Linked DNA regions of Struthio camelus. The protein of the gene in region 1 purifies or fractionates together with the protein of each later gene. This does not show direct contact. Links are inferred from orthologs where the notes say so. Each region holds a gene or a part of one and is shown on either strand. Other genes may lie near its edges.

What was found.
Region 2: the proteins of GET3 (region 1) and UBL4A purify together in Homo sapiens (affinity purification with mass spectrometry; 4 studies listed by BioGRID and IntAct, with this or other methods). This does not show direct contact. The link is inferred for Struthio camelus from reciprocal best matches to the Homo sapiens genes GET3 and UBL4A.

The regions. Positions count from the first base shown.
Region 1 is NC_090972.1:4,313,919-4,323,923, reverse strand, and holds the start of GET3 (ATPase GET3), read left to right. Parts: upstream 1-6,186; 5' UTR 6,187-6,453; coding exon 6,454-6,614; intron 6,615-7,466; coding exon 7,467-7,614; intron 7,615-7,719; coding exon 7,720-7,868; intron 7,869-7,982; coding exon 7,983-8,133; intron 8,134-8,534; coding exon 8,535-8,642; intron 8,643-9,767; coding exon 9,768-9,965; intron 9,966-10,005. Other genes in the region: RING finger protein 11, read left to right, coding at 758-927, 1,190-1,361; TRIR (telomerase RNA component interacting RNase), read right to left, coding at 3,764-3,871, 4,280-4,357, 5,493-5,744.
Region 2 is NC_090979.1:61,264-71,133, forward strand, and holds the start of UBL4A (ubiquitin-like protein 4A), read right to left. Parts: upstream 4,700-9,870; 5' UTR 4,575-4,699; coding exon 4,527-4,574; intron 2,484-4,526; coding exon 2,378-2,483; intron 2,302-2,377; coding exon 2,084-2,301; intron 1,237-2,083; coding exon 1,108-1,236; 3' UTR 1,025-1,107; intron 1-1,024. Other genes in the region: EKC/KEOPS complex subunit LAGE3, read left to right, coding at 4,825-4,856, 5,700-5,828, 6,444-6,558; PLXNA3 (plexin-A3), read right to left, coding at 7,039-7,134, 8,218-8,368, 9,868-9,870. UniProt on the Homo sapiens protein: As part of a cytosolic protein quality control complex, the BAG6/BAT3 complex, maintains misfolded and hydrophobic patches-containing proteins in a soluble state and participates in their proper delivery to the endoplasmic reticulum or alternatively can promote their sorting to the proteasome where they undergo degradation.

The DNA.
Region 1 (10,005 bases):
CGGGGCCTGGAGCACTGAGGGGGGATCGGGGTGAACTGGGGGTAACTGGGAGCACTGAGAAGGGGAAACTGGGGGGCGTCGGAGTTGCCTCGGGGGTCTGGGAGCACTAGGGAGGGAAATCAGGGTGCACTGGGGGTAACTGGGAGCACTGGGAGGGGGAACTTGGGGGATCAGGGAGCACTGGGGGTAACTGGGAGCACTGGGAAGGGGAAACTGGGGGACGTCGGAGTTGCCTCGAGGATCTGGGAACACTAGGGAGGGAAATCAGGGTGCACTGGGGGTAACTGGGAGCACTGGGAGGGGGAACTTGGGGGATCAGGGAGCACTGGGGGTAACTGGGAGCACTGGGAAGGGGAAACTGGGGGACGTCAGAGTTGCCTCGAGGATCTGGGAGCACTAGGGAGGGAAATCAGGGTGCACTGGGGGTGACTGGGAGCACTGGGATGGTGAAACTGGGGGAATGGGGAGAAATTGGGAGCCCCGGAAGGAGGAACTGGGGGGATCAGGGTGCCCTGGGGGGGACTGGGAGCACTGGAGGGGGAAAAGGGAGGAGCAGGGAGGAACTAGGAGCACGGGGAGGGGGAACTGGGGGGCTCAGGGCGCCCTGGGAGCACTGGGAGCGGGCACTGTAGGAGGGAATTGGGTGCCCTGCCGAGGGTTGAGGGTCCCCCCAAGCCCCCCCCCCAGGAGCAGGGGGGAGGCAGGTTTGGGGGTCCGTCGGCGCTCCCCAAGGCCGGCGGTTGCCGTCGCCCCGCAGGAGCGCGAGCCGGTGCCCGTGTACCACCCCACGCCCAGCCAGCGCCGCTTGGCCACCCAGCTCACGGAGGACGAGCAGGTCCGCATCGCCCAGCGCATCGGCCTCATCCAGCACCTGCCCCGCGGCCTCTTCGACCCCGGCGCCGAGCCCTCCGAGAAGAAAACGAAGGAGTGAGTCCCCCCAAAACGCCGGCTGGGGCGGCGGGGTTCGAGCTCGGGGAACCCCCATCCCCTCCCGGAGGCTGTTCCTGCCTTTGCCATGCCCACCTCATCCCCGTTTCCGTTTCCCCGGGGATTTTAAGGGCAGGAGGGACGGCGGAGTGCCGATTTCTCAGCCTGCAGCCCCCCGAAAGGCTTGATCGCCGCCTCGGGGAGCTGCCGGCAGCGCCCAAAAGCCAGGTTTCACTTCCCTGCCTTTTCCGCCACCCCGCAGGTGCGTGATCTGCATGCTGGAGTTCACCTACGGAGACCCGGTGCGGTTCCTGCCCTGCCTGCACGTCTACCACGTGGCCTGCATCGACGACTGGCTCATGCGCTCCTTCACCTGCCCCTCCTGCATGGAGCCCGTCGACGCCGCCCTGCTCTCCTCCTACGAGACTAACTGAGCTGCCGCGGCGAGGCCGGGGCCGCGGAGGGGGCTCCTCGGGCTCCGGTTCTCCCCCTTTTTTTGCACGCTAAGAGGATGCACCAAAGACTCCGAGTTTCCCGGTGAAAGGCTGCCTCCTCCGGGCCTTTCGGGAAGAGTCGGCGCGGCTCCGAAGATGCCCTGCGTCACCCGGCCCCGTCTCGGCCTTTGGGAGCAGCCCTCGCTCCCGCCGGAGGAGCGGAGCAGCCCTCGGAGCCGGAGGCGGCCCGCAGAGAGGCCGGATCCCGGAGGGCTGGTTTCTTGGAGAGGAGCAGAAGCCCCTGCCCTGTTTTTAAGGAGTTGTTGCTCCTCTTTTTTTTTTTGCTTTAAATAGTCCTTTAGCAGCTGCTTTGATGGGTGCCTGGAGCTGGTGGCCGCTGTGCCTGATGCCAGAGCTGCGATTGAAAGCGGAGGAGCCCGGCATTCCCTGTAATTCGGAGCAATCCCACCGAGAACGATTTATCCGGGCTCCTGGGGATGCCGGATCCTCTCGGCTTGGGGAAAAGGAGGCCGCGCGGCCCTCGCTGCCCCACTTCTCCCCCTCCGTCAGCTACGGCTTCGTTTTAACGTTCCCGCCCGAGACATTCCCTTCCCCGGGTGTTTTATAGGAACGGAGCCGAGCCCGGTTCAGCGGCGGGTTTCAACACACCCACCGACAGGGTCGGAAGCGGGACCGGGCTCCATTTTCCGGCCCCGAGCGCCTCATCGGACTCTCCAGGACGTTCCTGAGAGCTGGTGGCCGGCCCAGGGGGGCTCCTACCGCCTCCGCATCCCCCTCCCTCCCCGTTTCGGGTCTCTCCCTCCTGCCCGGCTCGCTGGCCCGGGGCGGGGGCCGCCGGCGCCTCGCCGGCTTCGAGGCGCGGAAGTGCTCGGCCCGCCGCGATGCCGTCCCGCCCCGGCGCTGGGCGGGCAGCGGGAGGGGGGCGCGCGGCCCGTTTGGATGGAACGAATAAACCGTATGGCCTAGCTCCGCGTGTCCGGGTGCGGCAGGGTGGGGGGAAGCAGGGCTGGGGGGGGGGTACAGCGCATCCTGCTCCCCCTGCGGCTCCAAAGGAAAATTAAAAAAAAAAACAACAACAACAAAAGGAAGAGCCGCGGCCTGGCGTGAAATCCTTCCCCGGGAGGAAGGTGCAAGAGCAGCTGGGGAGGGTGAACAGACACAGCAAGACACCTCTGTTCGCAAGAGAATTTTTATTCAAAAAGGAAAAGAGCCAGAACGTTTAAACATTTGTGAAGGATTTTCAGAATAAAAGGGGCTGCAGGATCGGGGAAGCAGGGTCAGTCCGGGCTCCGGGCGACCTGTTCCACCTCCTCCGGCAGCTCTCCCTGCCGACCGGAAGGGACGCGGAGGCGCAGGCAGCGGCAACAGCTCTCATCCGCACCCTCCCGGAGCCGCCTGGGGGAGAAAAAAACAGGACAAGGGCACCCGGACGGAGGTAGAAACCTCGGCACAGGGCGGATTTAAAGCTCTTCTTGTTCCCTCCTGCCCGGTGAGCGATGCCGAGGGCGGGCAGCCCCCCCCGCCGCCTTCGCGAGTGGATATTGCCGAAGCCTCCGGTTATCCGAAAGCACCGAGTGACTTCGGGAGAGCCTGAGCCCCTGGGGGAAGGGGAAAAAATAAACAGCCGGAGCTCGCTGTAATGTCGCTGTTACCCCACGGAGGAACCTACATGGGAGGGAAAAAAGAAATCCCTCGGAGTACAGCGGTGAGGCCGGGCAACAAAGGCAGCGGGGAGGGCAAAAGCTCCACCGGGACGCAGCCCCCGCGCCAAGAACACCCAGGAAGCGGTTAGCGGCTTCGAAATATCCGAGGTCTTTAATGACTCAATGCAACAGCGGCGCCCTCGCCGACGAGTTTTTACCCTTCGCGACAGCCAGGCGGGAGCGTTTCTGTCCCGCCAGCTACGGTTTCTACTCGCGGAAACGGAGGCGGAACGGGAAGAGACCAAACCGGGCGGGAAATCTGGGCACGCGGCGGGAAGACAAGCGGCGAGGCAAAGCCACGGGAATCTCGGAGTTACCGACGCGGAAGCGAGCGGGGCGACGGGGGTGGCTCCGGCCGGCGGGCGGGCGCGCGGCCCCCACAGGCGCGTTCCCGCTACAAAGAGCTACGGCCAGTCCAGAGTCCTTATTTCCCAGCAGAACGAAAGAAGGGTTAAGTCAGTGAATAAGAGACTTGGCGATGTCCCCGCGTGCCCAGGTGCGCGTGTGACAGAGAGAAAGAGAGAGAGAGATATATATATATTTTTTTTACATATAAAAACACCTCGAACAAGCCGCTGGGAGCACTTGGTGGATGTCTGTGCGAGCCGCTAGCCTCCTCCGCTGTTTAAATAAGTATGTACAACAGGGAAACAGTCCGTGCGGGCACCGGGAGAGAGGCTATTTCACCAGGGGCCTGGTTTTGTCGTCGTCGCTGCACTGATGGGCTTTGTATTTTTTCACTTCTGCCATGTACTTGGCCCAGGCGTCTCCTTTACTTGTCAAAACCTGCAGAGGAGGGAGGGGAGGGAAAAAATAACAAAGGAAGAACAAACAACACCGGTGATAAGAGGCGAGTCTGGAAGAGGGGTTGTGGCAGGCAACGCCCCGCTCCCCCGAGGGGATTCGTGCTTGCAGGATCCTGGCAGTGAAGGAAACCCCCAAATTCGGACAAACGGGCTCCCCCGGGGCGCTCGCGATGGCCGCAAGCTGCAAACCGGCTCTGCCCACAGCGACGGGCAGCACCGCAGGAGGCAGCGAGGGGCCGGCAGCGCCCCTCGCCCCCGTTTTCCCGCTAGGCCTAGCCGCTCACCGAAAGAGCGAGGGGGCAGAAAAGCAGCTGCGGACCCAAAACCGCCCCCAGGGAGGAGGCAGGGAGCCCCCATGCCCCCCCCGTCCCGTCCCAGGGCTACCTACCTCCTCTTCGGTCTTTTGCTTCTTGGCTACCACTCCCGTCTTCAGGGCTAGCTTGTTCCCACCTCTCCGCCTGCCCACCTGGGTGAAGGGACAGAAGACTGCAACCGTTACCCGAGCCGCGGGCGCTGCGGGGACAACGCTGCCCACTATACAACGGAACAGGGAGGCCTTCCGTTAGATGGTCCGTCGCAGCGCCGCGGGCCGGCTCCTCCCGCCGCGGCCCCCGCGGGGAACCCGCTCGTCGCTAAACGGCCAGTTTAGCGGTTTCGGCGGCGGACCTGGCTCGCCGCGACGGCCGGCGCCCCGAGGGTAGCGGCCGGCTTTCTACGCCGCGACAGCGCTGGGAAGGAGCGGGAGCGGATCAGCGCGTCGGAGCTGCTGCGATTCCTCGACAGCAGGGGACTTTACTACGGCATCGAGGCGCTTTGGACGCGGTTTAACAAGGAGGCGAACGCAGGCGCTGCGGCGAGTGACCGCGGCCGAGGCGCCCCGGGCAGCGGAGGGCTACGCCAGCCGGCGGCTCGCCTCTGTTCGGCCTCCGCTGGTGCTGCTCCCAGGGGATTGGAAGCCGCCAAGCAGCAGGTCAGGGAGGGAGGGGACCGTTTGTCAAAGCCTGAAGCAGCCAAACCCTAAAATTCAGCCCATAGGGACGCGCCCCTTCCCGGCGCAGCCCAATCCAGGCACGCTCGGAGACGCGAACCCGCTCGGTTCGGCTCACGGGGGTCTCCTGGCACCCCGACCGCTGGCCGCAGGCTCCGGGGCGCCCCGGGACCGCACACAACAACGCGGCTCCCCAAAGGGCCGGCGAGCAACGGCCTCAGCGGACCTGAGCCCGGCTCCCGGCACGCTCTGCCGGTGAAACCGGGGCCGATACTCACGTCGGGGGAGCGGAATCGTCCGGTGAAGCTCTTCCGCCTACCTGAGCCCAGAGGGTGGCTGCCGTTAAGGGGAAAAAGCGCCCCCCACCCAGAGCGACCCCGGGCGTGAGCAGGGGGGAGAAGCAACGGCATCACCGGGGCCGGTGAGGAAAGGGGGGGTGGGGGAAGAGCGTGGGGAGCTGCCCTTCTGCAGGCTGAAACCACCCCGGAGAACCGGGGAGGAACCGGGCCCGGTGGGACGGCGGGTGCGAGGGGCCCGGGCAGAGCGGGGAGCGGCCCCCGCAGCGGGGGGAGCGGGGCGCGGGGCGGCGGCGGCCCCCCCCGGGGGTCCTTACGAAGCTGAGCGCGCCGCCGCCGCCGCTCCTCTTCTGGCCGTCGGCCGAGCGGTGCGGACCGGGCCCGGTACCGGCACCTCCGGGGGCCTCGGCGGCCGCCGCCGCCGCCGCCTCGCGTTCGCGCTGCTGCTCCTCCTCCATCTTGCGCTTGAAGAGCTCCAGGAAGCTCCCGTCGTTGGCGAAGACGTTCACGCCGCCGCCGGGGCCGGGCGGCGGCGACGGGGCCTCCCCGTCCTCGCCGTGGTCGGCCATCTTGTCCGCCGCGAACGCCGCGCCGCGGGGCACCACGGGAAACGCCCCGCGCCCGGCGATGACGCGCGCGCGGGGCACGACGGGAAGCTCCGCCGCCGCCCTCCTATAGGGGCCGCGGGGGGAGGGTGACGCGGAGGACGGCGGGAAACGCCCGCCGCTAGGCACGACGGGAGCCGCGCCGAGCTGACGGGGCAGGCGCGAGGGCGCTGTTGCCAGGCAACGGGCGGGCCGTGAGAGCCCCCCCCCCTCCCCGCGGCTGCTCGCGCCGGACTGTCAGGCTCGGGGCCAATCAGCGAGGAGGCGCGGCAGCTGCGGCCAATCGGCTGCCGGCGGAGGCGGAGCAAGAGGGGGTGGGCGGGCTCGAGGAGCCGCCCCGGGGAAGAGGTAGGACTTGCTCCAGCCAATCCCGCCCGGCGGGCGTGCGAGCTGGCCAATCAGCAGCGGAGGGGGGCGGGGCCGGGCTGTACCACCGCCGTGCGGGCCGCGGGGGAGGAGTGAAGAGCGGGGCCGCCATAACGGGGAAAGGCCTCTCCGGTGCGGCCGGGCGGCGGCGGCCGTGATCGTGGCTTCCCGCCGGAGCGGCTCCCTCCTGCCGGCGGCCCCGCGGCGGCGGCCGGTGCCATAACTCCCTTCTTTTCCTTTCTCCCCCCCCCCTGCGGCGGAGGCGAATGGTGCGGCCCGGCGCCGGGGCAGGCGGTGCGGTTCGAAGATGGCGGCGGCGGGGTCCGGGTGGGGGCCCGAAGCGGACGAGTTCGAGGACGCCCCCGACGTGGAGCCGCTGGAGCCGACGTTGGCCAACATCATCGAGCAGCGGAGCCTCAAGTGGATCTTCGTGGGGGGGAAGGGCGGCGTGGGCAAGACCACCTGCAGGTGGGGCCGGGGGGGGGGAACACCGGGCCGGGCTGGACCAACTCGGGTGGTGGGGGGGGGAACCGGACCGGACCATTTGGGAGGGGGGAACCGGACCGGACCAGCTCGGGGTGGTGGGGGGGAACCGGACCGGACCATTTGGGAGGGGGGACCGGACCGGACCATTTGGGAGGGGGGACCGGACCAGACCAGCTCGGGATGGGGGGGGAACCGGACCGGACCATTTGGGAGGGGGGACCCGGACCGGACCATTTGGGAGGGGGGACCGGACCGGACCAGCTCGGGGTGGTGGGGGGGAACCGGACCGGACCAGCTCGAGTGGGGGGGACTGGACCAGGCCGCACCACTGGGGATTGGAAGAGGGGGACCTGGCCAAGACCACTTCGGGGGGGGTAGGGGGACCCGGACTGGACCACCTCGGGGGGGGGGGACTGGATCAGGCCACTTCTGGGGGGGGGATTTGGACTAGACCACTTTGGAGGGGGTTAGGGGGGATCCAGACTGGACCACCTCGGGGGGGGGGACTGGATCAGACCACCTCAGAGTGGGGGGACGTGGACCAGACCACTTTGGGGGGGAATGGACTGGACCACCACTTGGGGGGGGACAACACCAGACCAGGCTGCACCATTGGGAGTGAAGGGGGGGGCTGGGCTGGACCACTTTGGGGTGTGGGGGGCAGGCTGGTCACCCTTGGGGGGGAGAAGGAGCCCCCCTATTGCTGAGGGGGGACAGTGGCATCATAGGGCCACCCTATGGGGCAGGACCGGGTGCCTGGAGGGGGTCCCGGTGGCAACAGCCCACCCCGGTGACACCGCGGCCCCCCTCCTCCCCACCTGCCCCCCCCCCCAGCTGCAGCCTGGCCGTGCAGCTCTCCAAGGTGCGCGAAAGCGTCCTCATCATCTCCACCGACCCCGCGCACAACATCTCCGACGCCTTCGACCAGAAGTTCTCCAAGGTCCCCACCAAAGTCAAGGGCTACGACAACCTCTTCGCCATGGTGAGTCCCCCGGCGGGCCCCGGCGTCCAGCCTTCCCCCCCGTGCCCCCCCCACCACCCTCCAGCCCCTCACCCAACCTTTCTCCCCCACCCCGGCCCCCGGCAGGAGATCGACCCCAGCCTGGGGGTGGCCGAGCTGCCCGACGAGTTCTTTGAGGAGGACAACATGCTGAGCATGGGCAAGAAGATGATGCAGGAGGCCATGAGCGCCTTCCCCGGCATCGACGAGGCCATGAGCTACGCCGAGGTGATGAGGTGAGCGGGGGGCCGGGGCGGTGCAGGGCCGATAGGGCCCGGGGACGGCCCCCTGCCATGGGGAACGGGGCGCCGGGGACCCGCCGTCCCCGCTGAGGCCCGGCGTCCTCGCAGGTTGGTGAAGGGCATGAACTTCTCGGTGGTGGTGTTCGACACGGCGCCCACCGGCCACACGCTGCGGCTCCTCAACTTCCCCACCATCGTGGAGCGGGGCCTGGGCCGCCTCATGCAGATCAAGAACCAGATCAGCCCCTTCATCTCCCAAGTGAGGATGAGGAGGGGCGGCTGCGGGGCGGCGCCGGGGAGCGGGGCTCGCACGGGTGGCGCCGGGGAGGGCCCTCGGGTGGCACGCGGGGGACGTCGGTGTGTGGCACCAGGGAGACCCCACGCGTGGCACGAGGGGGCTCTCACGCGCGGCACCCGAGGGGCCTCGGTGGTGGCACCAGGGGGGCCTTGCGGGTGGCACCGCGAGGACCCTTGGGGGTGGCCTCGGGGAGACCCCCCCCCCCCCGCGTGGCGGGAGGGGATTCGCACACGCGGCACCCGAGGGACCTCGTGGGCGGCGTGAGGGCGCTTGCAGGCGGCACGAGCGGGCTTAGACCTGCCGCGCGCAGGGGGGACCTCGCGGGTGGCACCGCGGGGACCTCGGGGTGGCCTCTCCCGCAGATGTGCAACATGCTGGGGCTGGGCGACATGAACGCCGACCAGCTGGCCTCCAAGCTGGAGGAGACGCTGCCCGTCATCCGCTCCGTCAGCGAGCAGTTCAAGGACCCGGTAAGGGCCCGCCGGCGCGGGCACGGGGGACGCCTCCGCTGGGGCGGGGGACACAGCACGGCCAGCCCACGGGGCTGGGGGACACCGGGGAGGCGCCAGGGAACGTGGCACTCCCATCCGGCGGGGGGAGAGGTGCCAGGGGACACTGAGGAGGTGCCGGGGGACACGATGCTTCTGTCCCCCGGGGCCGGGGGACGCCGGGGAGGTGCCGGGGGACACAATGCTTCTGTCCCATGGGGCCGGGGGACGCCGGGGAGGTGCCGGGGGACACGATGCTTCTGTCCCATGGGGCCGGGGGACACTGGGGAGGTGCCAGGGGACACTGGGGAGGTGGCAGGGGACATGACGCCCCCGCACCGCGGGGCTGGGGGACACCGGGGAGGTGCTGGGGGACACGATGCTGCTGTCCTACGGCGCCAGGGGACACCGGGGAGGTGCCAGGGGACACGACGCTCCCATCCGTGGGGCTGGCAGACACTGGGGGACACCGGGGAGGTGCCAGGGGACACGACGCTCCCATCCGTGGGGCTGGCAGACACCGGGGGACACTGGGGAGGTGCCAGGGGACACGATGCTGCTGTCCCACGGGGCCAGGGGACACCGGGGAGGTGCCGGGGGACACGATGCTGCTGTCCCCCGGGGCCAGGGGACGCCGGGGAGGTGCCGGGGGACACTGGGGAGGTGGCAGGGGACATGACGCCCCCGCACCGCGGGGCTGGGGGACACCAGGGAGGTGCTGGGGGACACGATGCTGCTGTCCTACGGCGCCAGGGGACACCGGGGAGGTGCCGGGGGACACGACGCTCCCGCGGCGCGGGGGCTGGGGGGACACTGGGGAGGTGCCAGGGGACACGACACTCCCATCCATGGGGCTGGCAGACACCGGGGGACACTGGGGAGGTGCCAGGGGACACGATGCTGCTGTCCCCCGGGGCCAGGGGACGCCGGGGAGGTGCCGGGGGACACGACGCTCCCGCGGCGCGGGGGCCGGGGGGACACCGGGGAGGCGGCAGCCGAGCCGGCCCCACCGATGCAAGCGCGTTGCTGCGGGGAACGCACCGCGGCGGCGGGGCCGGCCGGACGCCTGGGCCCCGCGGGGGCTGAGCGTCGCCGGCGGGCCGGCAGGAGCAGACGACGTTCATCTGCGTGTGCATCGCCGAGTTCCTGTCGCTCTACGAGACGGAGCGGCTCATCCAGGAGCTGGCCAAGTGCCGCATCGACACGCACAACATCGTGGTGAACCAGCTCGTCTTCCCTGACCCCCAGCGGCCCTGCAAGATGTGCGAGGCCCGGCACAAGATCCAGGCCAAGTACCTGGACCAGGTAGCGCCCGGACGCCTGGGCCCCCTGCTGGGGGGAGGAG
Region 2 (9,870 bases), on another chromosome or scaffold:
TGTGGGGGGCAACAGGAGACCTGGGTCTATTAGGGGCACCGGGAAGACTGGGGGGCACTGAGGGCTGGGAGGGTTAGGGGACAGCGGGAAAACTGGCTGTGCTGGGGCCACTGGGAGCACTGGGGGGGCACTGGGAGCACTGGGGGGGCAATGGGAGGACTGGGGGGGCCACTGGGAGCACTGGGGGGGCACTGGGAGCACTGGGGGGGCAATGGGAGGACTGGGGGGGCAATGGGAGGACTTGAGGGGCCACTGGGAGCACTGGGGGGGCACTGGGAGCACTGGGGGGGCAATGGGAGGACTTGAGGGGCCACTGGGAGCACTGGGGGGGCACTGGGAGCACTGGGGGGGCAATGGGAGGACTTGAGGGGCCACTGGGAGGACTGGGGGGGCACTGGGAGGACTTGAGGGGCCACTGGGAGGACTGGGGGGGCTGGGAGGACTTGAGGGGACACTGGGAGGACTGGGGGGCACTGGGAGCACTGGGGGGCACTGGGAAGACTTGAGGGGACACTAGGAGGACTGGGGGGCACTGGGAAGACTTGAGGGGACACTGGGAGCACTGGGGGGGGCTGGGAGGACTGGGGGGCCACTGGGAGGACTGCGGGGCACTGGGAGCACTGGGGGGGCTGGGAGGACTTGAGGGGACACTAGGAGGACTGGGGGGCACTGGGAGGACTGGGGGGCACTGGGAAGACTTGAGGGGACACTAGGAGGACTGGGGGGCACTGGGAGGACTGGGGGGCACTGGGAAGACTTGAGGGGACACTGGGAGCACTGGGGGGGGCTGGGAGGACTGAGGGGCCACTGGGAGGACTGGGGGGCACTGGGAGCACTGGGGGGGCTGGGAGGACTTGAGGGGCCACTGGGAGGACTGGGGGGCACTGAGAGCACTGGCTGCACTGGGAGCACTGGGGGGGCACTGGGAGCACTGGCTGCACTGGGAACACTGGGGGGGCACTGGGGGGGCACTGGGAGCACTGGGAGACACTGGAAGAACGTGGCCGGGGGGGGCAGCACGCACCGGGAGAAGCGGGCGGACAGCAGCGAGACGCCGAGAGAACTGGTTATACTGGGAACCACCGAACGAGCAGGGGGACGCGGGGGTCAGGGGGCGCTGGGGCAGCGGGGGGGCTCCGGGGGGGGCGGCGGGGGGGGCCCCTCGGGCTGCAGCAGCCGGGCGGCCAGGCGCTCCACGTCGTCCAGGCTCAGCGCCCGCAGGCTCTGCTCGTAGTCCTGGCGGGGAAGGGGGGGGCGGGGGGGGCGGCGGCTGTGACCCCCCCCGGTCCCACACCGGAGCCCCCGGGTGCCCGCATGCTGGGGGTCCGCACCCCCGGGCCCCCCGGCTCGCCTCTGCCCCCCCGCGTCCGTGTCCCCCCCCCACGTCCGTGTCCCCCCTGTGTCCGTGTCCCCCCCCCTGTCCGTGTCCCCCCCGTGTCCCTGTCCCCCCCGTCCGTGTCCCCCCCGGTCCGTGTCCCCCCCGTGTCCCTGTCCCCCCCGGTCCGTGTCCCCCCCGGTCCGTGTCCCCCCCGTGTCCCTGTCCCCCCCGGTCCGTGTCCCCCCCCGTCCGTGTCCCCCCCGTGTCCCTGTCCCCCCCGGTCCGTGTCCCCCCCCGGTCCGTGTCCCCCCCCGTCCGTGTCCCCCCCGTGTCCCTGTCCCCCCCGGTCCGTGTCCCCCCCCGGTCCGTGTCCCCCCCGTGTCCCTGTCCCCCCCGGTCCGTGTCCCCCCCCGTCCGTGTCCCCCCCGTGTCCCTGTCCCCCCCGGTCCGTGTCCCCCCCCGGTCCGTGTCCCCCCCGGTCCGTGTCCCCCCCGTGTCCCTGTCCCCCCCGGTCCGTGTCCCCCCCCGTCCGTGTCCCCCCCGTGTCCCTGTCCCCCCGTGTCCGTGCCCGCCCCGTGCCTCCCCCGTCCGTGTCCCCCCCCCGTCCGTGTCCCCCCCCCGTCCGTGTCCCCCCCCGTGTTCCCCCCACGTCCGTGTCCCCCCCGTGTCCCTGTCCCCCCCCGGTCCGTGTCCCTCCCCGTGTTCCCCCCACGTCCGTGCCCCCCCCCATGTCCCTGTCCCCCCCGGTCCGTGCCCCCCCCCCACCTTGTGCAGCTGCTCCAGGACGCGGGCGGCGTCGGCGGCCCCGAAGTGTCGCCCCAGCACCCGGCCCAGCTGGGCCCAGATGGCGGGGAAGGGGGGCGCCGGGGGGGGCGCCGCGCCCCGGCCCCCCTCCTCGCCCCCCCCGGCCCGCTCCGGCGGCTTCAGCACCAGGTTCAGCCGGGCTTCGGGCCCGATGGCGTAGTCCGACAGGCGCAGCTCGTCTGGGGGGGGACAGGCACAGGCGGCACAGCGCGGTGACACCCCCGGCCCCCCCGGCCCCCCCGGCCCGGCACCCACCGGCCAGGGCCTTGCCGCGGTAGAGCAGGCGCTGCTGGGCCACGGGGACGTCGAGCTGCTCGGCCACCAGGCGCTTCAGGGCGCCCACCCGCTCCTCGGGGGACACCTGGGGGGGGCACCGTGCTGAGCTGCCCCCCCCGCCGCCGCCGCCGCCCCCCAACCTGCCCCGCGCCCAGGCCTGGAGCCCCCTGCCCAACCAGCCCTTTCCCCCTGAGCCCCCCCAGACCTGCCCCCCTCTAGCAAGGGGGGGGATGAACCCCCTAAATCGTCCCCCACCCCTGCAAGGGGGGTCACTGAGCCCCCCCAAGCCAGCCCTCCCGTGCAAGGGGAGCCCCTAGCCCCCCCCAAACCAGCCCCCCCTGCAAGGGGGGTCACTGAGCCCCCCCAAACCAGCCCCCCCTTCCAAGGGGAGCCCCCGAGCCCCCCCCAAACCAGCCCCCCCTGCAAGGGGGGTCACTGAGCCCCCCCAAACCAGCCCCCCCTTGCAAAGGGAGCCCCTGAGCCCCCCCAAACCAGCCCCCCCTTGCAAAGGGAGCCCCTAGCCCCCCCAAACCAGCCCCCCCTGCAAGGGGGGTCACTGAGCCCCCCCAAACCAGCCCCCCCCTTGCAAAGGGAGCCCCTGAGCCCCCCCAAACCAGCCCCCCCTTGCAAAGGGAGCCCCTAGCCCCCCCAAACCAGCCCCCCCCTGCAAAGGGAGCCCCTAGCCCCCCCCAAACCAGCCCCCCCTGCAAGGGGGGTCACTGAGCCCCCCCCAAACCAGCCCCCCCTTGCAAAGGGAGCCCCTAGCCCCCCCAAACCAGCCCCCCCCTTGCAAAGGGAGCCCCCGAGCCCCCTAGCCCCCCCCAAACCAGCCCCCCCTGCAAGGGGGGTCACTGAGCCCCCCCAAAACCAGCCCCCCCTTGCAAAGGGAGCCCCTAGCCCCCCCCAAACCAGCCTCCCCTGCAAGGGGGGGGTCACTGAGCCCCCCCCAAACCAGCCCCCCCTTGCAAAGGGAGCCCCTAGCCCCCCCAAACCAGCCCCCCCTGCAAGGGGGGTCACTGAGCCCCCCCAAGCCAGCCCTCCTGTGCAAGGGGAGCCCCTAGCCCCCCCAAACCAGCCCCCCCTTGCAAAGGGAACCCCTGAGCCCCCGAGCCCCCCCCCAAACCAGCCCCCCCTGCAAGGGGGGTCACTGAGCCCCCCCCAAACCAGCCCCCCCTTGCAAAGGGAGCCCCTAGCCCCCCCAAACCAGCCCCCCCCTTGCAAAGGGAGCCCCCGAGCCCCCCCCCAAACCAGCCCCCCCTTGCAAAGGGAGCCCCTAGCCCCCCCAAACCAGCCCCCCCCTTGCAAAGGGAGCCCCTAGCCCCCCCCAAACCAGCCCCCCCTGCAAGGGGGGTCACTGAGCCCCCCCCAAACCAGCCCCCCCTTGCAAAGGGAGCCCCTAGCCCCCCCCAAACCAGCCTCCCCTGCAAGGGGGGGGTCACTGAGCCCCCCCCAAACCAGCCCCCCCTTGCAAAGGGAGCCCCTAGCCCCCCCAAACCAGCCCCCCCTGCAAGGGGGGTCACTGAGCCCCCCCAAGCCAGCCCTCCTGTGCAAGGGGAGCCCCTAGCCCCCCCCAAACCAGCCCCCCCTGCAAGGGGGGTCACTGAGCCCCCCCAAACCAGCCCCCCCTTGCAAAGGGAGCCCCTAGCCCCCCCAAACCAGCCCCCCCTTGCAAAGGGAACCCCTGAGCCCCCGAGCCCCCCCCCAAACCAGCCCCCCCTGCAAGGGGGGTCACTGAGCCCCCCCAAACCAGCCCCCCCTTGCAAAGGGAGCCCCTAGCCCCCCCCAAACCAGCCCCCCCCAAGGGGAGTCACTGACCCCCCCAAACCACCCCCCCCAGCAATAGGGGAGTCCCTCAACCCCCCCCCAGCAAGGGGGGACCCCCTGAGCCCCCCAAACTAGCCCCCCAGTAAGGGGGGGAGCCCTTACCCAGACCCCCCCCGGCCCCCCCGGCCGAGGCCGCCCCCCCGCCAGCCCCATCGCTCCGCTTTCTCCCCTCTTGTGACCCCCGCCGGGCCCCGTACCCCGCCCCCGCCGCTCCCCATGGCCCGCCCCAGCACCCGTACCTCCCCCCTCCCCCGGCGCCGTCCCCTGCGTGACCCTCCGAGGCCGCCGTCCGTCCCCCCGGTACCTGGAGGCTGCACTCCCGCCCCTGCAGCGCCTTCACCGTGAGCAGCATGGCGGGAGCGGGAGCGCCGCCGCCGCGGGGGCCGCGGGCCCTTTAACGGCCACCAGCGAGCGCCGCGGCTAGAGCGCCTCGCCGCGCGGCCACCGTAGCGCCGCCCCCTAACGGCCCCGCCTGGAGGACCGGCTGGCCAGAGCGGCCCACTCGCTCCCTTCCCCGCCCCCTCCCGCCCATCGAGGCGGGGCCAGAGCGGCGCCGGGCGGAGGGGGAGGCGGGGCCTGTGACGTCGCCAGCGGTCGGCGCGATGGCGGCGGAGGCGCGAGACGGGCTGGAGTTGTATCCTGGCCCGGGGCGGGGGGCGCTGGGGGTCCGGGGGGCACCGGGGGGGCTGGGAGCCGAGGAGGGGGCGCTGAAGGGGCTCTGAGGGGTTATGGGGGGGCTGGGAGGGAGCTGGGGGGCTGGAGAGAAAATGGAGGAGCCCTGGGGGCGCTGGGGGGGGATTGGGTGTCCCAGAGAGGGATCAGGGTGGCTAGAGGGGGAGTTGTGGGGCTGGGAGGGGCCTGGGGGGCTTAAAGAGGGACAGGGGCAGCAGTGGGGTGGGCAGAGGGGGCAGTGGAGGGCTGGGGGGGTCAGGGGGCTTTGGAGGGGCTCTGAGGGGTTATGGGGGTCCGGGGGGGGCTGGGAGGGAATTGGGGGGCTGGAGAAGCAGAGGGGGCACTGGGGGAGGGACTGGGGGGGCAGAGGGAGGCATTGGGGTGCCTAGAGGGGGAACTGGGGGGGCCAAAGGAGGGAACTGGGAGGTACTGGGGGGGGCCTAGAGGGGGGCACTGGGGAGCAGGCTGGGCGGCCTTGGAAGGGAACTGAGGGGTCACGGGGGGGGAGTTGGGGGCCCAGGGGAGGTTTAGGGTGCCTGGGGGGGGAATTGGGAGCCCAGGGAGGGAACTGGGAGATACTGGGGGGCCTCTGGGGATCAGAGAGCTTAAGGGCGTATGGGGAGGGGCTGAGAGGGGGTTTGGGGGGTCTGAAGGGAGAATTGGGGGGGGCAGCGAGGAGAGCGATGGGGTTTGGGGGGGGGCTGTAGGGAGGGAAGTGGGGGGAATCGTGGGCCGGGGAGGGAGGTTTAGCGGTGGAATTGGGGGGGGCCCCGGGGGGGGCGCGGGGCGCTTCCTTAGCGGCCAGCCGGCTGAGCGTGCCCTTCCCGTCGGCGCTGGAGGCGCAGATCGCCCACGGCTCCCTGGCCCCCGACGCCCAGCCCCGCCGGGGGGGCGTCCGCCGGGACCTGGCCCTGGACGGCCCCCACCTGCAGGCGTGAGCGGGGGGCGCCGGGGGCGATTTGGGGCACGGCGGGGTGGGGGGCAGGAATGGGAAAAGAGTGGGGGGTCCATGGGGGCAGTTTGGGGGCAGGAGGGGGCGCTGGGGGCAGGAGGGGGTGCAGGGGGCAGGATGGGGGAGTCATGGGGCAGTTTGGGGGCAGCAGGGGGGTCATTGGGCCAGTTTGGGGAGGGGGTGGAAGGTGAGGAGGGGGTGCAGGGGGCAGGATGGGGGGTCATGGGGCAGTTTGGGGGCAGGAGGGGTGCAGGGGGCAGGATGGGGGGTGCAGGGGACAGTTTGGGGGCAGGAGGGGGCGCTGGGGGCAGGATGGGGGGTCATGGGGCAGGATGGGGGGGTCATGGGGGCAGTTTGGGGGCAGGAGGGGGCAGTGGGGGCAGGATGGGGGGTCATGGGGGCAGTTTGGGGGCAGGAGGGGGCAGTGGGGGCAGGATGGGGGGTCATGGGGGCAGTTTGGGGGCAGGAGGAGGTGCAGGGGGCAGGATGGGGGGGTCATGGGGCAGGATGGGGGTCGTGGGGCAGGAGGGGGCGCTGGGGGGGTTCGGGGCAGGTTGGGGCTGTGGGGGGCCGCGGCAGCTCCCCCCCCCCCCGCAGGCGGTGGTGGGCCCCGGAGGCGCGGAGCCTGCGCGTGGCCGTCGGCTCCTTCCTGGAGCACCTGGAGCTGGTGGTGGAGACCATGGAGCGCTTCGGGCCCCCCCGGCCCCGCTAGCCGGCACCCCCAACGGGGACCCCCCCGGACTGGGGACCCCCCCGGACTGAGACCCCCCCGGACTGAGACCCCCCCCAACGGGGACCCCCCCGGACTGGGGACCCCCCCGGACTGAGACCCCCCCCAACGGGGACCCCCCCGGACTGGGGACCCCCCCCCCAAAATGGGACACCCCCCCCCAGGCTGGGGCTCGGCGGGGAGGACCCTGAGCGATTGGGGGTTTCCCCCCAAACTGGGGCCCCCCCAGTGAGACCCCCCCGGACCTGCCCCCCCCCCACCCCAAGCTGCCGGGGGGGGGGGGTCGTGCCGCGAAATAAAGCCCGCGGGAGGCTGCTGTGTTTTTGGGGGAGGGGAGCACTTTAATGCGCGACACCAAGTTAACGAACATGGGGGGGGGGGCACAGACACAATAAATAAGGCACCGCGCCCGGGGGGGGGGGGGCGGGCGGGGCCGGGGGGGGTCCCGGCCCCCGGGGGGGGTCAGGCCGGGGGCCCGAGCAGGGCCAGGACCTGCTCCAGGCGCTGCCGCAGCCGCTGCTGCCGGCACCCGGCGTCGCGCTCCAGCGCCGCCAGCACCTGCGGGGGGGGGGGGGGTCACACCACTGCGGGGGGGGGGGTGACCCGCTACTGGAGTGTACCATTACGGGGGGGGGAAGTAGTTGCTACCAGACCATCCCATTATCTGTGGGGGGGGGACACTAGAACATACTAGTTTGGGGGGGGGGAGGTGCTCCCGGACCATACCACTATCGGGGTGTTTTTCAGCTGGGGGGGGTGAGGGCCCTCGACCATTCCGTTGTTGGAGGATAATCTGCTACTGGACCATGCCATTATCAGTGAGGGGGTGGACTGGAACATACCATTATTTTGGGGTGGGGGGGGGCTGCTATTGGGCCATGCCATTATCAGCTGGGGGGGGCCTGAACGTACTATTTGGGGGGGGGGGGCTGTTATTGGGCGGTGCCACTATCAGCTGGGGGGGGCTGGAGTGTACCAGTGAAAGGACAGGGAGCTAGTGGAGCATACCATTATCAGCTGGGGAGGTGTGCAGACTGGACTCTACTATTTTGGAGGAATGGGCCCATTGGGCCATACCATTACTATGGAGCAGGGGAATCATCGATCGGGTCCCACCATTACTGTTTTGCCCACTGGACTATACCATTAATTGGGGGGGGAACTTTCCCTTGACTCCCTCATCTCTTTGATTGGGGGGGGGGTCTACTGGGCAGTACCATTCTGCAAAACCTTGGGGGGGGGAAAAAAACCCCACTGGACCATACCATGATAGGGGAACTTAATGGATTGTACCATTGTACCATTAAAGGGGGTTCCTACTGGATTCTATCATTATTTGTAATGGGGGGGGTCCATTGGTGCATACCATTATTATTTGGGGAGGGGGCACTACTCGACTGCTGTTATCATGGCTATTATCATGGGGGGGGGAACCAATGGACCGAACTATTATTGGGGGGTAACCTCCCAATGGATCATACCATTATTGGGGGGAATCTACTGGATTGTACCAATATTTGTAATGGGGGGGGGTCCCACTGGCCTGTACCATTTCAGGGGGGGAATGAATGGTAAGCCTCAGTTACTGCAGCTCTGGTGGGGGGGGACTGGGCTGTACTGGGGGTTACTGGGAGGACCCACCTCATCGCGGTAGCGCCCCACGTACTGGTAGAGCCCCCCCAGAGCCCCCAGCGTGTCGAACTCGCCAGCGTGGAGCCGCGACTGCTCGGCCAGGAAGGCGTCCATCTCCCCCTCGCTGATGGGCGCCAGCCGCCCCACGGCCCGGTAGTACCTGGGGGCGCCCCACAGCTCCTGGGGGGCAGCCGGGACCCCCCCCCCAAACCCTTCCAAGCCTGCCAACTCCTGGAGGGCTGTGGGCACCCCAAATCCCCCCCCCCCAACCACCCGTGGGTGAGGAGGGACTCAGGAGGGCCAGCAGTGCCATGTGCCCCCCAGCAATGTCCCTGATGTCCCCCCGTCCCATGTCCCCACCTCTTGATCCAGGCATGGTGGGTGCACAGGTCCCATGCCCCCCTCCATGTCCCCAGTGCCCCCCCCCCCCCGGATGTGACAGGCAGGCAGCCCTGTGCTCCCCTGTCCTCCCAATGTCCCCACGTCCCCACCTCTCGACCCAGGCGCACTAGGCGGGCAGGCCCAGGTCCCCGCGGTGTCCCCAATGTGTCCCCATGTCCCCACCTCTCGACCCAGGCGCACTAGGCGGGCAGGCCCAGGTCCCCGCAGTGTCCCCGCAGTGTCCCCACGTCCCCACCTCTCGACCCAGGCGCACTAGGCGGGCAGGCCCAGGTCCCCGCAGTGTCCCCAGTGTGTCCCCACGTCCCCACCTCTCGACCCAGGCGCACTAGGCGGGCAGGCCCAGGTCCCCGCGGTGTCCCCAATGTGTCCCCACGTCCCCACCTCTCGACCCAGGCGCGGTAGGCGGGCAGGCCCAGGTCCCCGCAGTGTCCCCAGTGTGTCCCCACGTCCCCACCTCTCGACCCAGGCGCACTAGGCGGGCAGGCCCAGGTCCCCGCAGTGTCCCCAGTGTGTCCCCATGTCCCCACCTCTCGACCCAGGCGCACTAGGCGGGCAGGCCCAGGTCCCCGCAGTGTCCCCAGTGTGTCCCCACGTCCCCACCTCTCGACCCAGGCGCACTAGGCGGGCAGGCCCAGGCCCCCGCAGTGTCCCCAGTGTGTCCCCACGTCCCCACCTCTCGACCCAGGCGCACTAGGCGGGCAGGCCCAGGTCCCCGCAGTGTCCCCAATGTGTCCCCACGTCCCCACCTCTCGACCCAGGCGCACTAGGCGGGCAGGCCCAGGCCCCCGCGGTGTCCCCAGTGTGTCCCCATGTCCCCACCTCTCGACCCAGGCGCACTAGGCGGGCAGGCCCAGGTCCCCGCAGTGTCCCCAATGTGTCCCCACGTCCCCACCTCTCGACCCAGGCGCACTAGGCGGGCAGGCCCAGGCCCCCGCGGTGTCCCCAGTGTGTCCCCATGTCCCCACCTCTCGACCCAGGCGCACTAGGCGGGCAGGCCCAGGTCCCCGCAGTGTCCCCAATGTGTCCCCACGTCCCCACCTCTCGACCCAGGCGCACTAGGCGGGCAGGCCCAGGCCCCCGCGGTGTCCCCAGTGTGTCCCCATGTCCCCACCTCTCGACCCAGGCGCACTAGGCGGGCAGGCCCAGGTCCCCGCAGTGTCCCCGCAGTGTCCCCACGTCCCCACCTCTCGACCCAGGCGCGGGCAGCAGGCAGGCCCAGGTCCCCGCAGTGTCCCCGCAGTGTCCCCACGTCCCCACCTC